2 linked regions of the Coturnix japonica genome follow. The protein of the gene in region 1 interacts with the protein of each later gene in a biochemical or structural test. Links are inferred from orthologs where the notes say so. Each region holds a gene or a part of one and is shown on either strand. Other genes may lie near its edges.

What was found.
Region 2: the proteins of LNX1 (region 1) and SHTN1 form a complex in vitro, tested with the Homo sapiens proteins (2 studies listed by BioGRID). The link is inferred for Coturnix japonica from reciprocal best matches to the Homo sapiens genes LNX1 and SHTN1.

Annotation. Positions count from the first base shown.
Region 1 is NC_029519.1:59,244,845-59,248,880, forward strand, and holds the start of LNX1 (E3 ubiquitin-protein ligase LNX), read left to right. Parts: upstream 1-1,197; 5' UTR 1,198-1,345; exon of another isoform or gene 1,346-1,357; intron 1,358-4,036.
Region 2 is NC_029521.1:25,821,519-25,825,084, reverse strand, and holds part of SHTN1 (shootin-1), read left to right. Parts: intron 1-1,280; coding exon 1,281-1,427; intron 1,428-1,513; coding exon 1,514-1,667; intron 1,668-2,706; coding exon 2,707-2,812; intron 2,813-3,566. UniProt on the Homo sapiens protein: Involved in the generation of internal asymmetric signals required for neuronal polarization and neurite outgrowth.

The DNA of each region.
Region 1 (4,036 bases):
CATGCTGGGGCTTGCATATCTGGCCTTGTGACTTCTGTGGGAATCTAGATCCTGTGCATACAGTCTCTCTCCAAACTGTACCCATTGCAGGGGCAGAGCAGTGCCTAGACTCCAGCATGGGCTTTGGGTGGTAATGTACCAAGCACCGTGGGATGGCTTGATACACCCCTTCTGCATCTCCATGAGCAGCCTGGAGCAGAGGTGCTGTGATGGGCAAGAAAGCAAAGGCTGAGAGCATGACTATCTTGTGAAGTCCTACCAGCATGCAATTCTTGATGATTTCCTAAGTATTTAGTAAGGGATGTTGTAATCACAATTAGCAAGTATGCTCTTAACATTCTTGAAGGGAAACAAATTTTGCATAGAATGAGTTGAAGACCTGGTAGCTGTAGATGTTTATATGGGAGGCTGGAGGTTTTCTTCTGGCTGTCTTAAGTGTACTCTGTGGTTGCCTCCAAGTCTGTCTCCAAAGTTGTCTTGCTTCCTTCCTTAAGAGAAAATGCTCATGATTGCTTAAGTCATTGTGTTTATTTGTGATTCATGTAGCTGGAGCATTAGGGTTTATTTTCCTCCACTGGAGTTACTTTTTGAACTGAAGAGCACTTTGATGATGCTGCTGCCATCATAACTGTCATTCACAGGCAGCTCAGGTATCTGCACATCTTATCCCTTTCTTCATTGTTATTTTCCTTGGAAATCACTGGTTAAGAGGACTTAAAGTAGTCTTTGTTTCCTGATGTTCAGATAATTACCACAGCTTGTATTTCTAGCAGCTGATTTCCTAGTTCTCAAATTGCTCTGATATGGTTCCCTGCTCCTCAGCTGACCACCCCAGGTGTATGGGAACAAGGTGGAGTTGCAGCTGGTAAAACACTGGGATGGGCCCTGCCTCAGAGCTCACAAGCCTCATCCTCCTGCTCTGGGGGAAAGCCAAGTCTTCTGTTTTAAACAACTTTTTAAGAGAGTTTACTGGTCCAAGTTCAATCTGATTGTAAAGCTGAAAGAAGAAAGGAAACACAAAGCAAAGCCAAACTGAAAATGGACTTTGGCGTATGCCGGAAGTAAAAGCCAAAGCTTCAAGTTACGTTGTTGTCTGAGCAGCCTGCACATGCTCATGTTGCCTGCAGGAGAAATAACTGGAAGGGTGTGGTTCTCTAAACCTTGAATTGCTCAGGTGTGTGCACTTCAACTTTTATTTTGCCTCCTGACATGCTGTGGGCTGCTCTGTGTGACACAGCTGGTGGCTGCTCTGCTGTAGGGATGGGGCCCTATTGCCAAAATACAGTGACAGTGCATCAGTGGGACTCTGCCAGCAGCCAGCACAAGGCACAGCCAGGCCAGACACGTGAGTTTCAAGGTTTGCATTTCTTTTTAACTGATATTCTCACTTACAACCTACCAGAGAAGCAAACGGGTAAGGACATACTTGGGCAAAACAAACTTTATTTGGTATCTTCTGTTCACCTTCTCCTCTACTTATTTATACTCAGTTCTTAATGAGTTCTGTTTTCATTCAGTACTGGTATGTGCAGTGGTTGCAAAACTGAGTATGTGTGAGTATATGTCATCTCACAAAAGTTTCATCTGTACGGATGAGCCTGATCCTTTTTGTCAAAACAAGGTCCATGTACAGACATGGCAACACAGAGGTCAGGACTGCTGTGAAGATGCACAGACATCCTCGCACCCTGAAGGAGATACTTAAAGTACTTCACAGGTTTAAAGCGAAGCACATTTTGAGTGTTTTTAATTAATAGCTGCTGGGTACTTAAACATCTACCAAACAAAAACACAACTCGGGGAAAGTGTTCACATTGGATTGGTAATTCACACTTTTCCCATATGCCTGACACAAGAACAGGGCTCGACCAACAGCAGGAAAGGCAGGAGCAGGTGAATGTTCTGGTCAATATATAATGCGGATGTTTCTTCACAGTCTGCTACTGAAATAGATTAGAGCACACAATCTCTGTTTGTTACACCCCCCTCTCCCCTCCCCAACCAGACTTGTTTTCATTTGTTCATTCAGTGGGACACAAAACAAAAGCAAGGTATCTTTGCCACTTTATCAAAGCAGCATGATCTATTGTCTCCTGTTGCTAGGAAAGAACAGAAATTATCTTTAACTAAATTTGCCATCAGGCATTTTGAAAGATGCTGCCTCGCAAGGACTGGTATCCTCAGTTCTTCAATCCAGTTTTCTGAGACTGAGAGCTTCCTCTCAAGGAAGCAATCTGTTACTAATTTACTATTTTATACTCTTCCACCCAGACCTCAGAGGCTGTGTGTATTTTCCAAAAGTATAAATTGAATCAGTCTGGGGAATCTTGACTCTTCAGTATCCTTTTCTTGCCACCTGAAAATACTCTTCCTTCTGCTTCTAATTAATGTTACTTTTCTGTAGTCCTGTACAAGTGTCCCCCAGTCCCTCACGAGAGCTCTGCTTTTTGGAAGGAGGTTCCAAGCCTGTGTGTCTGAGTATTAACTGCATCAGGACTTCACTGTAGCACAGACTTGGAAGGCAGAATGTCACTGGCTCCAAACTGCGATTGTCTATCACAAGAAGAAATTGATTTGTCTTTTGGAAGAGGTTTGAAGGGGCTGGCATCTTACCCCTGAATAACTTTTCTTGTGCAAAATGCAAATAAATCTTGCATGCAGAATGAGATGACAGATTAGCCTCATTTTGCTGCAGACTAGGAAATCAGGCAGTATTGTTTCCAGCAGGAAGGTAAATCTCTGAAGGCTTTCCAGATGCTGGCTGCTGAAGGGCTGCAGCCAGTTATTTCTGAAGCCCTCAACTCTGCAAGCTGGCCTGGGGCAGGCAGAGGCTGCAGCTCTTTTTGAGGGGCTGTCTCTGCAGCCAAAGCTTGTGAGATGTATTCCCTCTCGAGTTAAAATGGACAGACACTTGTGTCAAGTGAGATTGCTGGTTTTGCAGTTGTTTGAGATGCAAATCCACCTCTTCCACTGGTATTTTTGCTCCTAGAACCTGGGAGGTGCGACAACTGACTTTCCCCAGGCTTTCCCTAAAGCCTTCAGCTGTGTGTTTAAGGAAGGTCATTGCACAAATCCTATGATTTGAGGGAACCAAGCTTGGAAGCAGAAAGTTTCTCTTTTGGTAAACATTCAGGGAATGGTTCATAGGCAGCTTAGGTCAGGTGCAGCTGCCTCTGGCTGCACGCTGCTGCCGTTCCTCTCAATAAACATCAGTTACTGCTTGACAAGGAAATCGATGAACTAAATACCCTGAAATTTCCTACCCATTTAGCAGTCCCTGGCAACACTCTCCTCCGTCCTTTGGTTTCACTTTAACGTACCTTTACCATTCTTCTTAAAACAAAGAGAATTAATAAAACAATAGTTTGCATGCACCAACAACTCCTTACTAAGAGGTGACAGCTACTTCTCTGCCTGGATTAATGCATTTTTTTTTTCAGAAAATGCAGCCGCTTAAAGGAAGAAATTCAAATCAGACAAAATTCCCCTGTCTGTGTGCACATAGCAGATCACATCTGAGCATGTGGTGCACACTGGCAGGAAGCAGGACAGCTTGAGCATGTAATGCCTAATGGGTTTCTCATCACAGGAGTAAGCAGCACACAATCTCACACCCATCAGACTGGTTCTGGATGCGGATGATAATTTGGCTGCATAATTAATGATCTTCTGCAGCTAGTGCCGCTCTCCTGTCCTGGCTGATAAAACCTTTGTGAGCCTCTTCGTTTCAAGGAGAATGTTAAAAGACCATCAGCAGTATGTTTGTTAATTAGTGTGGACTTTAGGTCAAAGTTTTCACAAAGCTCCAATTAAAGCAGCAATGACTCGAAACCAGTGAGCAGTACCGTACACAGGGTTGCTGCTTCCCAGCACTGAGCAGATGAGGCAGAAGCAGGCTCCAGAGGATGTGATGGTAACCGAGAGCCCAGACACTGTCATAAACAAACTTTATTCACTGATACTTTTGTTGAACAGAGATCTTAGTCATTGTCCTGACTCATGAGAGCTGGACAGAGCTGCTCCTATTGCCCGAATA
Region 2 (3,566 bases), on another chromosome or scaffold:
GTGCTTTCTAGAAAGACACAGTTAAAGCGTCTGTGCAAATCGCAGAGCAGAGTGTTTGCTCACAAATCTGCATCAGCTGATGGTTCCTTACAATCCGATTGTACTGAAAAAAATACAAATCACCTGGCAGTGTGCAACAGCACCGAGCAGGAAGAAACCATCCGTCACTGTGTAGTATGTGCAGTTTTGGCTGGTGAGAAGTAGTATAGGAGCCTGGCAAAATCTCATGGAACTTTTATACATGAAATACTGCATTTTTTAAAGTATCTACTTGCTTTTGCTGTGCTGTGGAGCGGTGTTTTCACAGTCTGAAGGAGCCTGTGGCTGTTCTCCGCTCTCCTGCTGTAAGTGGTGCTTTGCTGAGCTGTGCACACTCATCTCCAGTCTCAGCATGACCCAGTCCCTGTTTCTGCTGTAAGAACTGAAACAGCTGAGCTGTGCAGAAGTGCAGATTGCTGTTTGCTGGGCACCTTCTTGCTACCTGGAAGAGACATCAGGATGAAGAAGAAATTCACCAAGGAATTAGTAGGGACAGGAAATAATTCTTCTTCTCCAAGCTCCTCAATAGACTGCAAGAAGCTGGTTTTCTCTCTTACGGGAATCTCACATGCTGATGTGGGTGAAGCCTAGGAAAATATGTGATATTTGTATCAGTGTCATGCCTCTAAATGGATGGATTTTTTTCCTCATGTATCCATTCCCTGGATCTAAAATATAACTGAAAAAGAGAAAACATGAACTTCAGCAGTCAAAGTCTGAAATGGATCTGAGGGCAATTACATACACTGATTAATCAAACATGAGCTGAAATGCATTTCCCAAAGACACTCCATCATGTACATACCCAGGTGATGGTGCATTAAGTGGGCTGCATGCCAAGGTTGGCTGACATGGTTGAGGAGATCGCTTGTGAATTCATTGACTTTTCTTCCTCCACCTTGAATCCCTTTAATCTTCCCAGAGCCCCCAGAACCGGGTCGTTCATTTTTCCAGGAAATAAATCTCAGATACTCAGTTAAATCCCTTTTTCTGCCATCGTGCAGGTAATAGAGGTGTGGCAGAGCGTTGTTCTGGTATCTTTCAGTTTAAGCTCAGTTCTTGTAAATTTTACTCTCAGACTTTCTTTTCCCTTCTTTCTCACCACCTTTTCCTTTATTCCTGCTGTATTAACTCAATATTGACTTTGTTGCTTTCTTTCCAATTATTTCTTTTTCTTTCCAAGATAGCGTCAGGCTTTGCTTAACTGTTGTTTTTGTTGGGGCTGGCTGTTTTTTTCTCAGATGTTTATTGAACAAAACAAGATGAAAAGGCAAAGCCAGCTGCTTCTGCAGAATTCTGCCCCCGATCAGCAGCTTCTGAAGGCGCTGGATGACAATGCTAAGCTAACCCACGCGTTAGAAGAAGAGAGGCTTCAGCATCAACAAAAGGTAAAACTGCTTCTCATTTCATGCAGAAATCTTTGAAAGCTTCTTGAATTGGAGGATGAATTAATGCCGTGGTTTGCCAACTACAGGTCAAAGAATTAGAAGAGAAGCTAGAAAACCAGGCACTGCATAAGGAGATTAGTCGCCTTAAACAGCAGCTGGAACTCTTAGAAGAAGATAAAAAGGAACTAGAGCTTAAATGTCAGAACTCTGAAGAAAAAGCAAGAGACCTAAAGCATACAGGTAAAACTGTGTAATGAGTTTACTTCTAGAGGTATAACACAGCTCCTGCTGTGTGTAGCCTTGCTATGAGGACTGTGGGCCTATGGTTTGTTGATTTGATGGTCTTTGTTTTCAGTCCTTTATTCAGCTGAAGGCCTAAGCAGGTACTGGTTTTAAGTTTGAACCCCAGTCAAAGTCCCAAATCCTTATCGTAAGATAAATGAAACATATTCCTAAGAGCAGTATTAACACTTGTTAGCAGTGTTTTTTGTTGGAGCTTTACATTACCCAGCCTTAAAAATACACTGAAACAGCCTTTTCTCAACTGTCTTTGGACAGATCTAAACATCACAGCAGAATTTGTCCTTCCAGATTGGTTTGTCTTTCAGAAGGAATTTGTCAACATTAAGTTTGTACCTGGGGTTTAAAGTCACTCCGTTATTTATGCTTCTTACTTTACCATTTAAAGACTGGAATTTCAGTTTGAATTAATCATAATGAGAACTGAAGAGTTATATGCAGAAAGTGGGATAATCCCATTCCCCCTCAGCTTGAGCTGTTTGGTGAGGAAAAAAAGACGACAAAGTCCATCAGGAAGACATGATATCAGTTTCTAGCTTCATCTTTGTTAATTTCTCTCATCTCTTATTTAGTTTGTTATTTAAGGCTGCATACGATGCCATTCTGTGTTTTCTGATGTACACTGAGGACTCATTCAGCTTCCATGGAAGTACAGGAGGCTGATGTGCCTCAGACCTCATGTAGATTGCAGTAGTGTGAATGTGATAAACTTTTATCTGTCCTGAGATTTTACAGAAAGAATTCTGTTTGAGGAGTGTCATTTTAGTTTCAAAGGTAGCCCAGGTTGCAGTAAATGGTATAGTGTGATTTCTGTGCTATTAGGAGGCTGCTGAGAGTAGAAAACATTGCCTGAAATAGGACTTCCTAGCAACTGAGTGGTTTTGGGGTTAATTAGTAGCTTCTTTTGCTTAAGCTGTCGAAGTTTTTAGAGCAGATGCGAGAAGCAGAGTCCTCACTCAAGGTTTTTTCTCTTGCACAGTTGATGAACTTCAAAAACGAATACATCAATCTGAAAATCCTGCACCTCCTCCTCCGCCGCCACCACCGCCCCCTCTCCCTCCTCCACCTCCTCCTAACCCCATACGGTGAGTGCTTAAAGAGTCAGTGCTCTTCACTGAAGGATAAGTCGGAATACAGAATATCTCACCAGGAAAAGTGTCTTTAAAAAAGGAAGGTTTTCTGTCTGATCTGGGTTTTATTCCTTCCACTTTGCAAGCTGGACACTCTGTTCACTAACAGTCTTGCACCCTGACCAGTTGTGAACAGTGTTTGTCTTCCCAAACCTAATCTATTGTCTGGACTGTGACTTTGGATGAGGAGAGACACCCGTCTCCTCTAAATTTAGGCAATGTTTTTTTTATTCACCTGATAGCTGTAATTACAGACTTGTGAGGTGCTTGTCTGAGTCTGCTTCCAAGAGTACCCCTTTGTACCAGAGGATGTCTTGGATGATAACTGTTGTCCCTTCCTGTCAGATAAAATTAAGATTGAAGTTTTCAAAGAATCATAAAAGAAGTGAGCCAATACCATGTGTTGGGCACTAACCACAAGTAAGTGGAGTCCCTAAAGCATTTGGCTTAATTTTAGGAACTCAGCTAACGTTCCTGTAGACTCTATATTTGCTTGAAATAAAACACATGCTGCAGTGCACTGTTGAACTGTGAGGAAACAGATATTGGCATCCAATATGTTTTCTTCCATAACAGTCCCCATTTGGTTTAGAAATACCACTTCCAAAAAATCTTGGAAGTCGAAGAGCTGTCCTTGCTGTGCATGAGTCCTTGTTTTGGGTGATCTTTCCCTCCATTTTATTTATGTATTTATTTTTAAATGGATTCA